Linked DNA regions of Caenorhabditis elegans. The protein of the gene in region 3 purifies or fractionates together with the protein of the main gene of each other region. This does not show direct contact. Each region holds a gene or a part of one and is shown on either strand. Other genes may lie near its edges. The genes, in order: bli-1, nduc-2, dpy-11 and mtch-1.

The links.
Region 1: the proteins of dpy-11 (region 3) and bli-1 fractionate together in Caenorhabditis elegans (co-fractionation; one large-scale study listed by BioGRID). This does not show direct contact.
Region 2: the proteins of dpy-11 (region 3) and nduc-2 fractionate together in Caenorhabditis elegans (co-fractionation; one large-scale study listed by BioGRID). This does not show direct contact.
Region 4: the proteins of dpy-11 (region 3) and mtch-1 fractionate together in Caenorhabditis elegans (co-fractionation; one large-scale study listed by BioGRID). This does not show direct contact.

Annotation. Positions count from the first base shown.
Region 1 is NC_003280.10:10,707,302-10,712,656, forward strand, and holds bli-1 (Cuticle collagen bli-1), read left to right. Parts: upstream 1-1,658; 5' UTR 1,659-1,712; coding exon 1,713-1,856; intron 1,857-1,902; coding exon 1,903-2,176; intron 2,177-2,221; coding exon 2,222-4,344; intron 4,345-4,393; coding exon 4,394-4,499; intron 4,500-4,546; coding exon 4,547-4,746; 3' UTR 4,747-4,848; downstream 4,849-5,355. Other genes in the region: dph-2 (2-(3-amino-3-carboxypropyl)histidine synthase subunit 2), read right to left, coding at 4,849-5,018; col-80 (Putative cuticle collagen 80), read left to right, coding at 1-58, 106-921.
Region 2 is NC_003281.10:2,784,291-2,789,171, forward strand, and holds nduc-2 (NADH dehydrogenase [ubiquinone] 1 subunit C2), read left to right. Parts: upstream 1-2,561; 5' UTR 2,562-2,571; coding exon 2,572-2,917; intron 2,918-3,599; coding exon 3,600-3,673; 3' UTR 3,674-3,738; downstream 3,739-4,881. Other genes in the region: Y71H2AM.20 (Serine/threonine-protein phosphatase 2A activator), read right to left, coding at 1-9, 857-1,199, 1,245-1,334, 1,401-1,526, 1,577-1,654; cox-6B (Cytochrome oxidase c subunit VIb), read left to right, coding at 1,914-1,970, 2,018-2,137, 2,201-2,389; tbcc-1 (C-CAP/cofactor C-like domain-containing protein), read left to right, coding at 4,155-4,359, 4,417-4,541.
Region 3 is NC_003283.11:6,511,085-6,516,360, reverse strand, and holds dpy-11 (Thioredoxin-related transmembrane protein 1), read left to right. Parts: upstream 1-3,014; 5' UTR 3,015-3,015; coding exon 3,016-3,152; intron 3,153-3,478; coding exon 3,479-3,640; intron 3,641-3,694; coding exon 3,695-3,823; intron 3,824-3,871; coding exon 3,872-4,019; intron 4,020-4,064; coding exon 4,065-4,155; intron 4,156-4,205; coding exon 4,206-4,279; 3' UTR 4,280-4,776; downstream 4,777-5,276. Other genes in the region: mdh-1 (Malate dehydrogenase, cytoplasmic), read left to right, coding at 1-210, 260-676, 723-941; ubh-1 (Ubiquitin carboxyl-terminal hydrolase), read left to right, coding at 4,973-5,023, 5,094-5,210, 5,264-5,276.
Region 4 is NC_003280.10:7,371,577-7,376,670, reverse strand, and holds mtch-1 (Mitochondrial carrier), read left to right. Parts: upstream 1-2,504; coding exon 2,505-2,554; intron 2,555-2,599; coding exon 2,600-2,775; intron 2,776-2,819; coding exon 2,820-2,926; intron 2,927-2,980; coding exon 2,981-3,143; intron 3,144-3,189; coding exon 3,190-3,543; intron 3,544-3,590; coding exon 3,591-3,769; 3' UTR 3,770-4,056; downstream 4,057-5,094. Other genes in the region: F43E2.1 (Poly(A) RNA polymerase mitochondrial-like central palm domain-containing protein), read right to left, coding at 1-65, 112-259, 310-467, 517-612, 660-884, 935-1,140, 1,216-1,287, 1,335-1,391; rpb-4 (RNA polymerase Rpb4/RPC9 core domain-containing protein), read right to left, coding at 1,596-1,844, 1,917-2,026, 2,090-2,165.

The DNA.
Region 1 (5,355 bases), on a different chromosome or scaffold from region 3:
CTACACCGACATCAACTCCTTCGTTGATGAGGCTCATCGTGAGCTCGGAGCTTTCAGAGTAAGTACCATAAAAATACTTTGTTTCAAAAGCATTCATTTTTCTAGGGAGTTGCTAATGATGCCTGGAACTCGATGGTTAATCATGATGATTCTGCCCGTGTTGCCCGTAGCGTCTTCGTTCGTCGCCAAAAAAAACAATCCCAATGCAACTGCGGACCACAAGCCTCCAACTGCCCAGCCGGACCACCAGGACCACCAGGAGCTTCTGGAGACAGAGGACTTGACGGACAACCAGGACCAGCCGGAAAGCCAGGACAACCAGGAGTTGCTGGACCAGCTCACCACCAACAGCAAGAGTGCATCAAGTGCCCACAAGGAGCACCAGGACCAGCCGGAGCACCAGGAAACCCAGGACCACAAGGACCAAACGGAAACCCAGGAGCACCAGCCCACGGAGGAGGCCAAGGACCACCAGGACCACCAGGACCAGCTGGAGACGCTGGATCTCCAGGACAAGCCGGAGCCCCAGGAAACCCAGGACGCCCAGGACAATCTGGACAGCGTTCCCGCGGACTCCCAGGACCATCCGGACGTCCAGGACCACAAGGACCACCAGGAGCCCCAGGACAACCAGGAAGCGGAAGCACTCCAGGACCAGCCGGACCACCAGGACCACCAGGACCAAACGGACAACCAGGACACCCAGGACAAGACGGACAACCAGGAGCCCCAGGAAACGATGGAGCCCCAGGATCTGACGCCGCTTATTGTCCATGCCCAGCTCGCAGTGCCGCAGTTTTCCGTCACCGTAATGTTGCTGTCAACCGTCACCGTGCTGTTGCCAAGAAGCGCGTTGTCGCCAAGAAGCGTGTTGTCGCCAGAAAGCGCGTCGTTGCTGCCAGACGTCACGTTCAAGCATAAAGCAATATATCCTACCAAAGTAGAAATTCCTGATAGATTTTTGTCGAATAAACTCATTTTCATTATCTGTAATTTGATCTTGCAACACGAGCCCTTTCAAATAATCGTCGATTTCTTATTTCCCTTTCACTCATCACTTTCGCTAAGCAAATCGAACGCGGCGCATGGTTTTTTTTAGTATTCTGGTGTCAGCGGCGGCACGGACATTGATGAAAAGATAGGAGAAGATAATCAAGTCGTCGCATATCTGAATTATCGCTATCACCTCGACGCGTTCATAAAAACTCTGCGAATCGAGAACGGTAAGATGCAGGTCAAGAAAACCGCAGAAAAAGCAGTCCCGGTGTGGTCGAAGGAGGAGGAGGAATCATGAAAAAGCAACGAGTGGGATCTCGAGATAACCGCTATTTTATCCACAACGCTACTCCGTCGTTAGCCGCTCGTCTCTCAAATTCAGCGATCCTTATCCAGACATCCTTCTGACACCTTTCTGACATTCATATAGACTGCGGTGACTGGACCCTAAGATCTATAGACTAAAACCACCCAATCCGGTCTTGTAGGTTTCGTTTTAATGATTCAAGTAAAATCATCGTCCCGAATGATTATAGGCAGTCAGTTGAATGTCGTTAAGGTTATGATATAGCATGTCGTCGTCGTCATCGTTCCGTTTATAAGCATTACCTCGTTCCGTTTTCGCTTTGTTCTCAATCAGTACTCATTCTCCGCTTCTTCAGAGTCTTCCACACAACTCTCCGCAGTCTCGGAGAGTAGTGTGATCTAACCTCATCATGGTTAAGTCCTACACTTTGGCTGGACTAGCGGCGATTGCTTGTCTGCTGCTGGCAATAGGAGCTGTGATTTCTACAGTGTATATTTTAAACGATATTTCTGACTTTTACAGTGAAGCACAGGAAGAGTTGGTAGAATTCAAGGTGAGTTATTGTTCTAGACATAATTGAAATTATTTTAAAATTATAGGATATCGCAAACAATATCTGGGAAGAAATGGTTTTCGAATTGACACCAGAGGAAATGAGAGAAGCCGAAGACAACGATCGTGAGAAGAGATCCTATGAGCCTGAAGGCCCTTATCAATCTGAAACCACAACACCTTCAACAACCACTTCAACTGCTGCCACAACTACCGAAGCTGCAGAAGATGAATCTGGTTACGATTTTGTGAATGATAATGGACCACCATCTTCAAGACCTAGAAAACCAGAACCACCGACCATGCCCAGAACTATCCAAGGTACACATAAAAGTTTTAGTATAAATTTAAGGATAATTATTTCAGGTTTCCGTGCACCTCCTCCAGCTGCGACATCCACCTACAGACCACCACATGGATCAAACTATGACAATTACGGTAGAGAGCCGGCGTCTTCTAGAAGACCGTATCCACCTCAACAGCCTCCCAGTACATCAGCTCCGCACAGCAGTCCGAATAACAGAACATCATTGTACAATCCACAGCCACCTCCAAAAACTGGATATCCAACAAATCCTCGTGTACCGTACAATCCACCTCAGCCAAACTATACTCGGCAACCAACGTATCCTGAAGACAACCGCGCGCCATATAAGCCAACAAGATCACCAAACACTCCACCACCTCGTCAACCTTCTGGCGGATACGATTCAGATGGGCAGACTCCACCGTCATCGCCTAGAATTTACAATACTCGTCGTCCGAACAATCATGGTCCAGGGTATCCAGAGGATCAAGTACCAACAGCGCCACCAGTTCCAGGACAACAAAGAGTTCCACCGACTCAAACTCGAAATCCACCAAATCCAACTAATACCCGTCAACCATCGAGACCAGTGCCTCCAACATCAGATGGACATATTGAGGCAACCACTCCGTATAATCCATCTGCTCAATATCCCACAGGAAAAAGGGGTTCACACCCTGGATTTGGACCTCAGAGACCTCGTCCAGGAACTAGACCAAGAGGCAATCCATGTGATCAATGTTCTGCTCAGCCGAATCATTGCCCATCAGGACCTCCAGGACCTCGTGGTAGACCAGGGCCTCCAGGATTCCCAGGACAAGATGGGCCACGTGGGCTTCGAGGTCTCAATGGTGGTTATTCTGGTGTTCAACCATCTTCTTATGATCCAGTAATTGGCTGTGTACAGTGCCCAATTGGACCACCTGGAGAACGCGGACCAGACGGTACACCAGGAGTGCCAGGAGAAGATGGTATTGATGGCGAGCAAGGAGTGAACGGACAAGATGGTCAACCAGGAGCACCAGGGGCACCTGGATATCATGGAATGAATGGTTCTCCGGGAACACCTGGAAAGCCTGGACTACCTGGAAGAAACGGCCAATCATGCAAGTCAATTCCAGGACCTCCAGGTCAGCCAGGAGTAATGGGTGTACCAGGAAGAGACGGAGATCCTGGAACTGATGGTGAGCATGGACAAGACGGAAGCCCAGGAATTCAAGGCCCGCCAGGAAGAGACGGAACATCAGGGCCAGATGGCCAACCAGGAGTGTCTGCTCCGGGAGCACCAGGAACAGACGGCGGTTATTGTCCATGTCCAAAGCGATCTTCGAAGTTTGATTTTAATGATGCATACAATGATGATGAGAAGAGAGGCCTAGAGGAACATAGACCAAGAGGATACGATTCAGAACGCGCCGAAGAGCCAAGACCAAGACAGACTGTTCGTACTAATACCTATGATGAAAATTCTGGAGCCGAACATCAAAGAAGACCAAACTACGAACCTTCAGCAGAAGTTGCTCCACCACGACAGGATCGTTATGAAGACGAAGAGAGAGTTAGAGAACCACCACCAAAGAGACCGCCACCACCACACCGACAAACTCCACACGAGTTGTACCCAGAAGAGCAACCATATGTCAGAAGACCACCACCACCACAAAACAGAGGAAATTATGAAGTTGAAAGATCAAGAGAATATGTGCCAGAAGCTCCAAGACCAAGGCAAGGTTATGAACATTCATCTGGATATGGAGGTGATGACAGGAAAGAGCAGCCAAAATATATGGAAAGTCGACCAGTTGATGAGCCAAGATACGAAACTGATGCTCCATCAAGAAGTCGCCCGCTGAAGAAGGTTGAGATCATCAGACACCCAGAAAGAGGATACGATCGTCGTCAGCCATCTTATGAGGATTCGAAGCCAAGACAAGAGGAGCCAAGACGATATGAAACGGAAGCTGAGCCACGCTATGAAGAAGTTCCACGGAAAGAGACACATCCTCCAGGATTTGGAAGACCAAAATCTGAGGAAAATCCAAGGGAAACAGGAAGAACTTACTCAGAAGAAGCAATGCCACCTGTGCAACAAACTGAGAAATATAATGGAGATAAAAGAAAGAAGAATCAGCCAGAGTATGAGGATATTTCAAAACCAGAAGAGGATAAAGAAAGAGCAATGGTAAGTGATATTGTGATGATTATTTCTATAAAAGAACTATAAATTGCAGGAAAAACACCACAAGAAGCCTAATAAGTTCCAAGAAAAACAATGGGAAGAGCATAGAAAGAGCCAGGAACTCAGGAATTCGAGAGAGCATGGAGGACAAGTTCCAGGTAGAATTGTTATGCGGAAATTATCATTAAATTAAATTCAATTGCAGTTGAAACTTCCGTACCAATGCAACAAGTAAAACCTGAATCCTCTGCAGAAGAAAAGCCAGTTCCACCTGTACATGACAACTTCCAGTCATCCGAGAAAAGAGCTTTTTCCAACGAAAACCCACTACCATCAGAACAAATTCCATACAGAAGGAGAAATCGCTTTTACAGGAACCACTATTATGAGAAGTTTCTAGTTTAATAACTAAAAAAAACTTCTAGTCTAACTTATTGTTGATTTTTTATTTATTTTCACCCCTTCCCCCACTTGCCATAATAATGAAAGAATGTTAATAAATCGTACCTTTCATGTTGAATTGTTTTATTAATTGGATTGAAATGCGACACTGTACTACAACTTGGATACGAGAGAAGCCAAATCGGAAGAAGCGGAGAGTTGGGAAAACCGCAGAAGATAAGGTCGGTGGGCTGATTGTTGCGAAGACATGAAGGGATTTCCCGGCCGAGGTATATCTGGAAAGATGGGAATTAAAATTAAATTAGGGCTAGGCATTTTTCAGTTTTTCTCGGGACCAAAATAATTAATTTTTCGATTTTCAGTTTTCCAGAATATCAACAAAAAAGGAAATTTTAGTTTTTCAAGTGCTCAAAAATCCGAAAATCCAAAATTTTTAAAACCATAGCATGAATATTGAATCTCCTATCAATAATGTTATTACGGCATTTTTTAAATAAAAATTTGGTTATTTAGAAAATCGAAAATTTCCTTGGTCGGTTAAAATCTTTTCCCGATTTTTTGTCTTTTCGCTCGGAAAACCACACAATATTTTTTTGAGTATTTTGAAAAGTT
Region 2 (4,881 bases), on a different chromosome or scaffold from region 3:
TTTTTGAACCTGAAAATCGAAACAATTTAAGATTTTGGAGCGGATTTTTGGCTATTTTTTGGCATTTTTCAACATATTTCAGGCCTATATAAGCTTTGGAAATTCAAAAGTTTTTTTTTTTGTAATTTATTGGTAGAAAACTAGATTTTTAGGTGATTTTCTAGTAAAATTTTATAATTTTTTTTCTGAAATTTTCACAGAAATATGCTTTTAAGCGGGGTTTTCTAGAAAAATTGTAGAAAAATTTTTTTTTGTCATTTTCGGTGCCTTTTTTAAGTTTCACAGGAAATTTAGTGAAAACTAGCTTTTTTTGAAGTTTTCCTACGAGGAAATGTTGTAGATTGAAGATTTTAAACGATTTTTCCCGGATTTTTAATAGGAAAATCGCGAAAATTGATGATTTTTAACGGAGAAATTGAGGATTTTTCAATGAAAAATTGTGAAAACTTATGATTTTTAAAGGAAAATTGCCAAAATTTATGATTTTTTGGCAAAAATCGCAAAAATGTGATGATTTTTTAATGAAAAATCGGGAAAATTGTTGATTTTTTATTTAAAAAAAATCGCAAAAATTTGTGATTTTTCGACAAAAATCGTGAAATTTGATGATTTTCAACGAAAAAACGGAAAAATGCATGATTTCGAATGAAAAATCCTTGAAAAATGAACGTTTTTTGAACAAATACTGTGAAAAAAGACATTTTAGATAGAATTTTCCGACAATCTGTGAAAATAAGTCGGTTTTTCTTCGGAAAACGACTTAATAATTGTGGTTTCTTGAGAATTTTTGAGTTTTTAATGGAAAATTCAGCTATTTTCCTGAATTTCAAGACTTCTAGTTGCTCCAACATATTACCAATAAGCTGAGCGCTTCCAAAAATGAACGGCGCGAACTGAAAATCGTCAATCGCATGAACTCCACGACTTCCAGCCGGCTCCATCTTGAATCTGGTCTGCAGATGACGGCACACTCTCAAATACTTGTTAAAAATGCGAAGAACGAGCACTTTGTCATCATTTTCTGTGAAAACGCCCAACTTTTGCAGGCAAAACAGCAAAATTAGGAAATTCGCCTCGTGTCCCGAGCCGTAATCGATTCGAGTGGCGTTTCCGAAGGATTCTGTGAAATATGGAACCAGTTCGACTAGAGCATCGTGGACGTTTTCCGGAAGAACGCTGGCTAGGAGATCTGGGGATTCCTGGAATTTTTAAAATCTTTTTAAATACATTTTTGAGCTAAAAACCTTGCAAAGCTTCTCATAAAACTTTCTGTAAGCTTTATTGCCAAATCTTTGCTCGGAAACATCTTCCAGAGGAATTTCCTCAGCCCATTTCTGAAAAAAATCCATTTTTTATTTTTTTAAATCTGGTTTTTCGTAATTTTCCGTAATTTCTCGAACCTCCAGCTTATCCAGCATGTCGATAAAGCTGATAACCAAGTCTGTGCATCTCATGTCTGCAGTTGTATGAACTCCAACTACAGAATCATTCAAACGATGCAAGAAAGCCAGGTACTCCTCGTAAGCCTGCAAATTTCCATTCATAATCCTTCAAATCGATAAAATTTCTGTTCTACCTTGGAAAAGTACCACGGATTCAGGTCGAACACATTTTTAATCATCTTTTCCGGCGGTTTATACGAGTTTTCAGCCATTTTTCTGGAAAAAAATCTATTTGTTTTGATTTCTAGAACTTTGTTATGTAAAAAAATAATGCAGCAAGTGCGCTCCAACGCAAAACCCCATTGTGGAGCGTTTTGTGCGTGAGAGGTGTATAGGAGTGTGTGGCTCGCGCAGCGTCTTTAGTGAAAAATTTTTATTGATTTTAAATATTGTTTAATTCGGTTTTCACGGATTTCTGAGCTTTGAAAATAACCGCCCGTGTTTAAATTTCAATTATATTCAATTTCAGTAATGCCTGTCGAAGTTGAGGTTCCCCCAACCACTTACGAGAGACTCCAGCAATACAAGGTGAATTTTTAGCGTTTTTCTTCATTTTTATCGATAAAAATTTACAGGAGAAGTTCTCCGATGCTCTCCGTCATCCAGACTCGCCAGACTGGTACAAGAAGGAGACCCACGAGTCTGTGAAGAAGGATCTTCTCTGGGCTGCTCCATACGACGCCAGATTCCCACAGGTTGGTAACTTTATTTAAAATTTATTATATATTAATTAATAATAAAAATGTACAAGTTTTCAGGTCCGTAAGCAACGTCAATGCTTCGCCTACTACGTCGATTTCCATCGTTGCAATGAGCTCATGGGACAGGACTACAAGCCGTGCAAGTTCTTCCAAAATGTCTACAAGGACTTCTGCCCCGGATTCTGGACCGAGAGATGGGACGAGCTTCTTTCCGAGGGACGTTTCCCAGCTAAATTCGATCGCTAAATGAGATTGTTCGATTGTATTCGAGAACAGGCGTTTTATTAGTGCTGATATTCGATAAAAAGTGTCACTTGTAAAATATTTTAAACACTTTTATTTCTTATGGCGTTATGAGACGCTTGAAATATCTCATTTTTTTTAAAAATCATATTTCCCCCAAATAAATAATTTTCTCAGTGGAAACCATGGCTGACTCAACTCGCGTCAGCGAGAAGGAAATCGAGCGCCGCGAGACCTTTATTCGCGCAGGACACAGAGCTCGTCACCTGGCCGATCCATTCACATGGAGCTACCCATTGAAGGGTGCCAGTGCAATGCTCGGAATCTCGCTGGCTTCGGTTTATTTGCAAAATCGATGGAACAAGAAGCCGTACTACTACGCAATTGTTCCACGGCTTTTGCTCATCGGAGCCGCCACCGCCGCCGGATACGCTGCCGGAGCACTTCGAGAGAGACACTATCAGACGAGAGACGCAGTCATCGAGCACTACATGAAGCTTCATCCAGAGGATTTCGACCATTTTAATGATCGTGAGTTTTGGAATTTGCTGAAAAATCGATTTTCAGATTTTACTGCAATTTCGAAAAAAAAACCCGGCTGAATTCGATCAAATTTGAAAGATTTCGGCTTTTTCCCCCCAGAGAATACCGTATTTTTCGCGATTTTCTGTGATAAATGCAGAAAATATATACATTTTCCCCGAAAAAAAAACGCTGAAAAGGAGAAGATTTGGCTAAAATGCTCGATTTCGGACCAATTTTTGCATTCAAACACCCAAATCAATGATTTTTATCTTAAAAATAGCAAAAATTGGCGTGAAAAACCGATTTTAGCCTAAAACACCATGGAAAACTACAAATTATCGGTTTTTTCGTATTTTTTAACAGTAAATTCGTCATTGTTCATGTAAAATACTATAAATCACCGATTTTTATGTTAAATTCAGAAAAAAAATAGTGAAAATGGCGCATTTCAGCTTAATCTTCTCCTCGAGGAGTACACGAGCTGCGTAAATCGACACATCACAGAAAACTTGAATTTTGGACTAGAATTCAGTTTTTTTTTCGCAATTCTAAGTAATTATTTTGGAAATTAGTGCGAAAAAAAGGGAATTCTGGCTAAAAAATTCAAAATTTCTGGGAAAACGGAAGATTTTCTAGTGAAAAATGCAAGAAAATCATCAAAAATTCATGGAATCTATTTATTTTTCAGGCAGTGGACGTTCATTCTCTCAAGTTCTTCTTCCATGGTATCCACGCAGAACCCAGTACACCAGATACGACTGAACAATTCTCTCGAAGTCTCTTTTTAGTTCATTATTGTAAATTAAATGAAGAATTATTGATTTTTTTCCCGGAAAATTCTCATTTTTTTCATTTTTCAGCATCCATCTGGTCTTTTGAGCCGTTTTGAATATAACTAATTAACCCAGAAGCAATTTTGGGGCAAAAATACTATACTATATCCTGGGTCTCGACGCGACAATTTGTGTTAAATGCGAAGAGGGATGCGCCTTTAAAAAGTACTGTAGTTTTAAACTTTTGTTCCGGTGGTTTTTATTGATTTTTTATAGTTTTTCTCACATTTTATGAGAATTTTTGCATATTTTTTTAACGAAACTAGAATAAAAACACATAAATTTCTATAAAATCTGAAAAAAAAACTATGAAAAATCGATCAAAAATTTAAAAAAAAACTCAAAATTGTCGTGGCGAGACCAGTTTTTTGCCACAAAAATCGCGCAAAAAAACGCCAGATTTCAGCATAATGGAAGCATCTTCGGAACAAATTTTATTGGATCGAAAAGATCGATTAATTGCAAAACTGGAACAAAGAAATGAAGAACGAAAAGTGCAAACTGAAGAATGTTTATCGAAATCTGAAGGAGCACAAATCGATAATTTAATGGCGGAAATTAAATCGGATTTGGAAGCGAAAAAATCCGTCGATTCGCAGAAAATCGACCGGCTTCGTAAGAAATTTCCCCGCCTCAAACAAACAAAATCGATAATTTTCTTCAATTTTTCAGAAGAATTTCTGGCGTTCTCGACGAGTAACCGGCAAACTAAAACAATTCAAAATTTCCTTGAAGACGTTCGAAAACAGAAGCTCGCGCTGAATTCTGGACCCAAATTCAAGGGTTTTTCGTTTTCAGTTCGGTGGTTTTTTTCACTGATTTTCTCAGGCAACTCAAATCTAATATGAAAATATTAAATAGCAATATTTTTGTAGTTGGGTGATATTTCAAGATAAAATCGCAATATTCCGAGACTTATTCGAAATCTTTTTAGATTGAGCAATCTTTTGAGAATAATTCGCAATATTTTGAGGTTGATTCGCAATATTTCTGAATCTGAAAATATTACGAAAAATTCGTAATATTTTGAGATGACATAGCAATCTTTTGAGATTGGTTCGCAATCTTTCTGAAATCTAAAAATATTACAAAAAAATGTGTAATATTCTAAGATTAATTTGCAATCTTTTTGCAGTC
Region 3 (5,276 bases):
GAGCTCCAGGATTGTGCTCTTCCAACCCTTTTCAGCGTTGTTGCTGTCACTGATGAAAAGTCGGCCTTCACCGGTATCGACTACGCTTTCTTGGTCGGAGCCATGCCAAGACGCGAGGGAATGGAGCGCAAAGATCTTCTTGCTGCCAACGTCAAGATCTTCAAGTCACAAGGAAAGGCTCTTGCTGAGTATGCCAAGCCAACCACCAAGGTGAGATCAGAATTCACAGTTAAACTTTCAATATTTCCATTACTTTCAGGTTATCGTTGTTGGAAACCCAGCCAACACCAATGCATTCATTGCTGCCAAGTACGCCGCCGGAAAGATCCCAGCCAAGAACTTCTCTGCCATGACCAGATTGGACCATAACCGTGCTCTTGCTCAACTCGCCCTTAAAACCGGAACAACCATCGGAAATGTCAAGAACGTTATCATCTGGGGAAATCACTCTGGAACTCAATTCCCAGATGTCACCCACGCTACCGTTAACAAGAACGGAACTGAGACCGACGCTTACGCCGCTGTCGGAGACAACGCTTTCCTTCAAGGACCATTCATCGCCACTGTCCAAAAGCGTGGAGGAGTCATCATTGAGAAGAGAAAGCTCTCGTCTGCAATGTCTGCCGCTAAGGCCGCTTGTGATCACATCCACGACTGGCATTTCGGAACCAAGGCTGTAAGTTTAATTATTTTAAAACTTGAATGAAGATTTTATTTTCCAGGGGCAATTCGTCTCCATGGCTGTCCCATCCGATGGTTCATACGGAATCCCACAAGGACTCATTTTCTCATTCCCAGTTACCATCGAGGGTGGCGAATGGAAGATTGTTCAAGGTCTTAGCTTCGACGATTTTGCCAAGGGAAAGATCGCTGCTACCACCAAGGAACTCGAGGAGGAGAGAGATGATGCTCTAAAGGCTTGCGATGATGCCAACATCTAAATTTTCCCCATAAATTATAACGATTTCCCAACCGCTCCCTTAAACTTAAAATGTAAAAAAAGAAGTAGGCCGTCTTGTCGTTTTTGTAAATGTATTATGTATTCAGTTATTGAACAATGAATTTATTGCATCTTCGGATCGAATTGTTTCAATCTATCTTTCGAAATAACTTGTGACTCGTTTCTGATTTCGTATATCTGTTTATTTCTGGAAGCTAGCAATCAATCTGCCAACGTGGAGGATATGGGTTTGCAAGAATAAAGAAGAAGACAAATCATCTGTACAGAAAGCAGGTTCTAGGCGAGAGAATCGCGAGAAGTAGCGAAATGAGGGTACGAGGAAGAGGCGGTGTGTTGACCATTCATTCCAGCAATCCTTATTCCTTCCGTGTTGGATAACGACCTGTCCCCAGGCGTTTCTATGGCTTTTTCCTCCCATTTTGATCGTTGAAACAGAGATGTTTGCTTTTTTAGAATTAAATTTATGCAACTTTTTAGACTGTGCACTTAAATAGAAGATCTAGAAATAATTAAACGAATTTTAAATGCATAGTCGCAGTAGTAATAGTAAATTGACTAAAGAAAATCATTTTTTAATTTTTAAACAATTTTTAATGAAAGTTTATCTCTGAATCTTTTGAATATCCCTTGTGTAAATTTGTACTTGACCAATTGTTCCAAATTTGTAAATATCAGTTTTTGCAGAAGCAACTACTTTTCGTTGAAAAAATTCACTTTTAAAATAGTGAGACTAGGTGAAAATGTTGTGAATTTTGGCATTTATAGCTACCACGATCGTGGCGAGACCCACTCAGATTAACAGCGTGTGCCTTTAAGTGACTTTTGACTTTTTCCCTAAATTACGATATTAAAAAACTTCCCATGCTTTTTTTTTCATTTTTTAAAATCAAAATTTGCCACAATAGTAGGATTGGAATTTATTCCATGTTTGAGGCTTCTCTAAAAACAAATTTCTAAATAATTTAGAGTTTTGTTTTAATCTTTTCTTTCTCCTATTTCACTTCTTAAATCTCATTTTCTTATCTTGGCAAAGTAACCTAATAGTCAAATCGATTGGCTTGTTGATCTTCACCATAATTTGACCCAAATCAGCTCGCCGCGTCGGTTTTTTTTAATTGACCGATTAGTCGCTATCACAGACGCTATTCATTAATAAACGTCAGCAGGAAGACCTAGTAATCTAGTTATCCACTTCACAACTCGATCAATAATTGCGGATCGGCGTGTTTCAACGAATACGGGAAGACAAGAGAGAGATAAGTTGTTTTTAGTGTGTGTGTATGGGTGAGTGTACGACAGTACCTACATACTGGAGGGGGAATATCCTTGACCCTTTGAGCGCGGACGATGCGACTTCCACCTTCTTTTTAATACATGCTCTGGATACAAGATATCTACCCATTTTTGTTTCTTTTTCTTTGTAGAAATTAATTATTGATCTGTAACTGTGAGGGCAGCAAAAATATTATAAGCCGATTATTTTTTCGCAATTCCAAAATGGACAATATGACTTGCATAATTTGATTACTGAAAAAAAGTGGGCCTTTATAATTTCGACATGAGCATTAACGCTCATATTTTCTGTTAGACAAACAATCTGTGGGTATTTGGTATTTGCAAATAAATATATTTGCATTGGCATTACAGAATCATACTATTTCCCCGCTATTCTGCAAGTTGTGTACAGGCTCAGTTGGTCTACTCTTGATGTTTTGATAGTTGTCTCTTTTTGGTTTTTTTCCTGTAGAAGATGGCTAGTAATACGTGGCTTAAGAACAAGATGAAACCGGTAGCCTTCTTTTTTCTCTTTTCGAACTGCAAAACGAACTGCGGCGACGGCGATAATGTGTGTGCGTGTCTGCCGACCGTACACCCCGCCGCCGAGATATATCCCTTCACTCCGACCGACGTCTTCCTCTTGTGTCTTCTCTTCACACCATAGGCGCTGCTTTTCGTTTTCAATCTTCCGCTTTCTATGTTTCTCTACATTCCTTCAATTCTTCATCATCCTTCCTGGTCACTCTATGACATCTATAAAACAAGTCAATTCCAGAATGCTGCTCCGATTGCTCGCCGTGCTCGGACTTTTCGCCGTTGGAGTCTCGGGGGGACCTACCAGATCTTCCAAGCTCGTCTTTCTCAATGAGGAAAACTGGACAGATCTTATGAAGGGAGAGTGGATGATTGAATTGTAAGTTGTTTCATTGAAAGCTCCAATTTGGAACAATGTATATAGTTTGTACTTGGTAGAATTAACTACTAAGGTTCTCAAGCATACACTTTAAAAACATTTTAATTAGTTACAAAACTACAAAATTGATAACTGATAAATTTTTAAAAATCCGCCGAGATGAAAATCTCAATTAAATTCCATCTTACTAGTACCTATGATATGAAAAGATATAGAGTAGAATCTTTTCATAATTTGAATTCACTGTTGGTTATTAGAATCTTTCTAAATAGCTATAGAAGAGTTAGGTCTAGATCATTTGAAAAAAATAACTTTTAAAATTCCAGCCATGCTCCATGGTGCCCAGCTTGCAAGGATCTTCAAAAAGCATGGAACGCATTCGCCGACTGGTCTGATGATCTTGGAATCAAGGTTGGAGAAGTCGATGTTACCGTCAATCCAGGACTTTCCGGTAGATTCCTTGTCACAGCTCTCCCAACAATTTATCAGTGAGTTTTTGAAAGCTATTTATTTCTACAAAAATCGAACGTTTTTTTTTTCAGCGTCAAGGATGGTGTCTTCCGTCAATATTCTGGAGCTCGTGACAAGAATGACTTCATTTCATTCGTCGAGGATAAGAAATACCGTGTGATCGACCCAGTTCCAGACTACAAGCATCCAAACTCTAAGCAGTACGCTTTTTTGTGGCACAGCAAAAATAATATTATAATTTTTTTCAGAATGGCCGTCGTTGCCGTCTTCTTCAAACTTTCGATGTCGGTTCGTGACTTGCACAACCATCTCGTCGAAGATAAGGGAATCCCATCATGGGCCAGCTACGGACTCTTCGCCGGAGTTACTCTTGCTCTCGGATGTGTTCTTGGATTCGTGAGTTTTTTAAATAGAAATTTCTGTAAACATCGTGATTTCCAGTTCATCGTTATCATCATCGACCAAGTATTCCCTACTGGACCAAGAAAAAGCCAACAAGCCAAGAAAACCGAGAAGAAAGACGCAAAGAAAGGTACTTTAAAATATTCGGATTCTGATTTCTAAAAATTTATTTATTTTCAGATTCTGGAACTGAATCTCCGACAAAGAAAAATGGAAATAACAATAATGGCAAAGAAACGAAGAAGACCAAGTAAATTCTATGCAACTTCCAAAAACCCCAATTGTTTTACCTTTTGTGCATCTTGTTATTTTATTTCAAATTATAATTTAAAAACTTCAAAATGTTTCATATTTATCCCAAACCAGCAGTCTCTGCCCCAAGTTTTTGAATTTTAAAAAATTTGTTAATTATAAGTATTGCCGTCCCCCAAGATATATATAAGTCACTTCTTCCTATGGGTTCCCGTCTTTTTTGTCTCTTTTGTTTTCACCAATGCTTCTCTCCTTCTGCGCATTTCATTTCGGACTCTGCAACGACGACACGTAATTAAAGCGACATCTCTTGCTGCGAGAGCCAGTCGGTGCTGGTCGAGTGTGTGTTCGCTTTGGCGTCGTCACGCCTTCTTTCCCTGCTGCTTTTCGCTCCTCATTCAATGCATTGATCCGTTTGTCCGTTTTTTTGTCCTCTGCTTTCTCTCAAATATTTCACTTTTTACGAAAAAAGTTGTTAATAAATCATAATTCAATTAAAACCTTTTTTGATAATTCAGAAATATATTAGCGCATTGGGTATTCACAATATTATGCTATTGATTGGCTTTTTTGAGCAGACCCGTAAACAACTATTGTTCGAGAAAAATTCTTTGCATTTATTTTTCATAGGAAGATTTTCATAAACAGATTTTATTACTGAATATTTTCTTCAGAACCAAAAAAACTGTCTAAATATGGCCGCTCCATGGACTCCGCTCGAATCGAATCCAAGTGTCATCAATCCGGTTCGTTGTCTCGGTGGCGTCGTCGCCAGTACACGCACACAATCTAATTTAATTCTTCCTCCGTTTTTAGATGATCGAAAAAATGGGAGTGAGTGGCGTGAAGACTGTCGATGTGTTGTTCTTTGATGACGAGTCAATCGGAAAACCTCAGCACGCAGTTATCCTATGCTTCCCGGAATACAAAAAGGTATTTTTTGTGACAAAATTTGAGATATTACGAGCATGACAAAGAAAATTTAGGTTGACGAGATTA
Region 4 (5,094 bases), on a different chromosome or scaffold from region 3:
GCGCACTTCTTCCTGGATTTCGCACATCGTAGGCGTCGAGAATAGTGATCTGATAGTCTTGATCCCTGCAACAATTTTTTGTTATTTTGAGTTTGAAAAACGACGACTCACTTTTGAGATAGAGCTTCAATTTCACCATTTCGCATATTGAATCGATAATTCAGCAATACCACATGGTTGGAGTATTGACAAGCGAAAAGGTAGAGAAGCTGAACAACAGTGAGATCATTCGATGGTCTCTTTCTATGCATTGAAATAGCTGAAATAAATTAAATTCCAATTATTTCAATTGATCATTTTATCACGAACTGTTTTCATCAAGAGGAAATTTGAACTCGTGACGTAGTTCCGCCAAGTCCGACAATTTGAAATTGCCGCGATGAAAAAGATCACTGTGGGTCTGGTGAAGATTCGGTAGAATATCATACCATTGCAAAACATGAATGAGCAGAAGAATAATCGAGTATCTGAAAGAAATGGTGACTTTGCTCTGACTTTTTGCAGGTTAGAAATTACGAGTTGGGGTAAATTCGCAAATGATCTTCAGCTCTCCCTTCTGATTTCATCCATTTTTTCAAAAACATCACGAGAATTTTGAAGCGATCATCGAGTCTGAATAAATTAGTTCAATAAGTGTTATTTCCAGAAATTAATCTTACTGGCAGTAAGCATTGATATACTTTGCGGCGAGACTTGTTCGAGGATTATCATCGAATGTTGCACTCAAATCAACTGGCACATCGTTGATTTTGAATCGGATGATCGGAACCTTTGCCGTTTGCACAAACGAAATTCCGCTGACGACATTCTCTCCAAAAATGTTCTGCCCTTCCTTACTGTACATCATGTCTCGAAAAATGGCTTGAAGAATGATTACCGGCAGTCTGCAAAAGTTATTATAAATCGTCAAAAGTAAGGCTGCAAAACGACTTACTGTTTTTTATTTCCTGTTGCCGTCGCACACACACACAGATCAAGATCGCTGTCTTTCGAGGCACAGTGCGTCGGGAAACTTCCAAAAACGCTAAGTCCACGCAATTTGATTCCTTGCGAAGCGAGTTGTTTGGTAACTCCTTCGGATTTCAGGTATTTTCGAACCAACGCCACATAAAGCTTTCGTTCCTCCAACATTGATTGGCTCTGAAAATTTGGATTCAAATTATAAACATGCGAAATCTCTACAATTGGTAAAAATTAACCAGTTTCCCATCCTACCTGTCTTTGATTCATATAAAATATATTTATATCTTGTTCGAGCTGCTTGAGAGAAGGATGATCGCCTTGCAACTGAAAAATTCTAGTACATTAACAAATAATGTGAAAAATAAACTCACAATGCTCTTAAGGCCTTTGAGAAAATCTGGAGACGGTCTGCTCAATTTCTGCACCATCTGGTTCAATAGTGTGATTTTTTCAACAAAAAAAAACAATATGAAACCAGTATTCATTTTCGATTGAACAAATTATTTGAAAAACATTAATAAACATTTCCAAAATTTCATTTCATTGTATCAAATAACACATTATGAGAGATCTCATAGGACAATTACAGTAACTTGAGAATACAGATAAATATGGGATTAGTTTGCTTGTATTTATTGGAATGTTCTTTTGGATTGCAGATCCTTGAGAACTTCCTCTAGTTCAGACTCCTCGATTTTGTTTTCCAAAGAAGGAACTAGTGCTTTGGCTTCTTCGGCATTTTCAGGGCAGAGATTGGCAATCTGCGCAACTTCGAATTTGTGAAGATGCTTCTCGGAGAAAATCGCTCGAACTGCACGGATAGTTTCGCGATTTTTGAATCGAGACATGCGGCGAGCGTAGTTGAGAGTTTTGATGAAGACCTGAATTCGTTTAATATAAAAATGATATTATAAATCAATAAATTTAATCGACTGAAATAGTTTTGAGACTACCTCGCTCATCTCTTCAATTTCGTCTTTGCTTTCACTCGATTGACGACGATGCTCCAGAAGCAAGTAAACCTCAGCGGTCAGAAGAGCGTCGCATGTTGTTGTTTCGAATTCTGAAAATATACCGATTAGGAAAAATCACCAAATTCAAAAACTCAGTAAAAACAAAACAATACCTTTCGGAAATTTGCATTCAGCGGCATCTTCCTCGACTTGTCCATCTGACTTTTGATTTCCTCCACCGGAAGACATTTTCTAAAAATATTTTTTAGATCAGTGACAGTGAGATTTAAGTGAAAAACAATAAAACTGACGGAAATTTATTCAACTATCAGAAAATTGTTTTTAAGACAAAAAATTCTGCAATTCTTACACAGAAAGAGGAGTGAGATAACGTGCGCACACATTGCGTTTCAGTCTCCGCCCACTTTTTTGTGCGGCGAATGTTTATTGTTTATCCGCTCATTTTTTTTATCTTCGATTTTTCTCATTTAATGTCTGATTGCTATTTTTTATGAATATAACTATAGTTAACCCAAAATATTAGTTTGTATTTTCATTTGTTATTAAATTAATTATTTTCAGTGAATCATGGCTGAAGGAAATCAACAAGACGCTTTCCTTGGGCTTGCTCCAGAAGATGAGAGTTTAGTCTTATTGAAATAGATTTGAAATTCAGTTTTACAGGAGAAATTCGCCAAGAGTCTTATTGCCAAGCTCGCTTTGAGCTCGTTGTCGCTTCCTTTGACCGTGACACGTACCCTTATCCAGCTTGGTCATGAACCGTTCCCATTGTCTACAGGAAAGACTCTCGTCATTGCAGGAAGAAATGCGTATTTCCTTCCTAACTTCTTCAGCTATAGTAGGATTCACGAAAATAATCTTCGGTAATGATCATAAATTTAGTGAAGCAATTGGGAACTACTCGTGGATATATCACCCTTTGGACTGGAATCGACTCTGCTATCGCTGCTTTGGCTGTTCAGGGTATTGCTTCTCACCGCACTCAGCAGGTAAACAGTTTTCTCATTGAAAGTTCCTGAAAACCGTAAAAAATTATCTTACAGTACATCGACGAGTACTACCCCAATATTGGAGGACCTCTTTTAAATCAAGATAAAGAAGAGGATGAACTCACCGATGCTGAATCATTCCGAAGAGTTATTCGTAACGGATTCCGCGATTCTGTCATTCGTGTTGTTGCTGTTACTGCTGCACGACCATTTGCTGGTAAGTTAAATTATTTGCGATTAAACTGTATAATAATCTCTTCCAGTCTGCTTTGCTCGTCAAGTTGCTCAAGTTATTGGCAATGAAACTAAATACACTACCTGCGCCCAGGCTCTGGCCGTCATCGGAAAGCAGGAAGGTCCAGGAGGACTTTTCAGCGGACTTGCTCCTCAGATCGTTGGAGAGCTTCTCGTCATTTGGGGAGTTCATCTAATTACTCACGGAATTCAAAGAGCTATTCTCCGCATTGAATTTGGAGACACAAAGAATAAGGACGAAACGAAAGCCAAGGCTGCCAAGGATGTTCACAAGTTCATCCATACTGCTGTTCCATTCCTCGTCAACTCCTTCGGCTACCCATACAGTGTTGTATCCACTGTTATGGCTGTTGCTGGATCAGGTAAGCATGCGAATAACAGTATCTTTTAAAATAAAAGATTATTTCAGGACTAGCCGTTTCGTTCCTCCCATATTCACCATCCTTCAACAACTGGCATGGAGCATGGGACTACCTTCGCCCAATTGGTCTCAAGCGTGGAAACCGCCTGTTCCTTCGTGAACAAGTGGGAGCTGTCACTGTCGGCGTGGATCAACAACTTTACGCTAGCAACTCTTACTTTGCATAAGATTTTCGTCCCCAACTTCATCCAATCTTCGCTATAATGTATTTTTCGAGTTTTGCTAATCCCTTTTCATATACCAATCATCGGTTGTTTTAGACTCAAATCTCATAGAACTAAAATGTTCCTTTAATCCAAACCCGTACTTTAGATTTTCGATTTAAATTTCAACATGTGTCCCGTAATTTATTAGCTTTAGCGTTATCCTATGATGAAGTTAAATCTACAATTTAAAATTTTATAGTTTTTTTTTGTAAACAAACTACACTCAAAATAAAAAAAACTGCGTGGCGTGTACTGCAGAAAACCTCATATTTAGGCCCCGCCTTTTTCTCGTCCACTCACGGAGAAAAGGCAACAATATGGGGGCCAACCGAAAACATCAAGAGAACCCGTGATGGCAAAACGGGGTGATATCTCAACTCCTGTGAAGAGAGCCAACAACCCAACCGCAGTCGCCAGGGTACCCGATGATCCATCCAATCGGCCATGATAGTAGAATTCGACAACAACTTGTCTATATTGCACCGGGAAGCCCATAGCAACTGCTTCGAAACGAGCGACTTGATACGCTAAATGCGACTTCCGTTCTATTTCTGGACCCATTTCACCTTGACTATGAACTTCGAACGAGTGTTCGTTGGAAATCTCATATCGGCATTCTGAAAAATATATGATCTTGTATCATCATTTTACTAGATATGAAGCGCTGTTTTATGTTTCTACATAGTAGATCTTTGGCAAGAAGAATCCCACTGGCCATGTCCATTTTGAGACATAATCACAAACTGGAGGAAAATTCAAATTTTCTAAGTAAAAATGCTCTGGAAACTTCTCGAAAATTCAAAGGAGTTCTAGAATGTGCTAGAACTTTCTTGTTCTCAATTTCGCAACTGCAACATTGTGTTTTGTAATACGATAACACAGGGGTTTTGGAGATATGAAGCTTTGAAAACTCACTGATAGTAAATATGTCGCCTCTTTTCCCCTTCTTTGGTTTCTTCTTTTTGGCTACGTCTTGAAAGCAAAGTCCGATCACGTGAGCTTACTTTGAAATTTTTTGATGTTTTGAAATTGGGATGGGCATGAAGTTGTACATTTTGTGATCAGAAACAGTCTTAGCTTGAGCCAAATTTTTGCCTTTTCGTCCGTGAGTGGACGAGAAAAAGGCGGGGCCTAAATATGAGGTTTTCTGCAGTACACGCCACGCTGTTTTTTTATTTTGAGTGTAATCTTTTTCAAATTTTGTTTTCAGATAAGGCAACTGATTAGCTAGTGGGGTGAGGATGTAAAATCAAAATCTTCTTCGCTGTCTAAAAGTGACTCTTCTC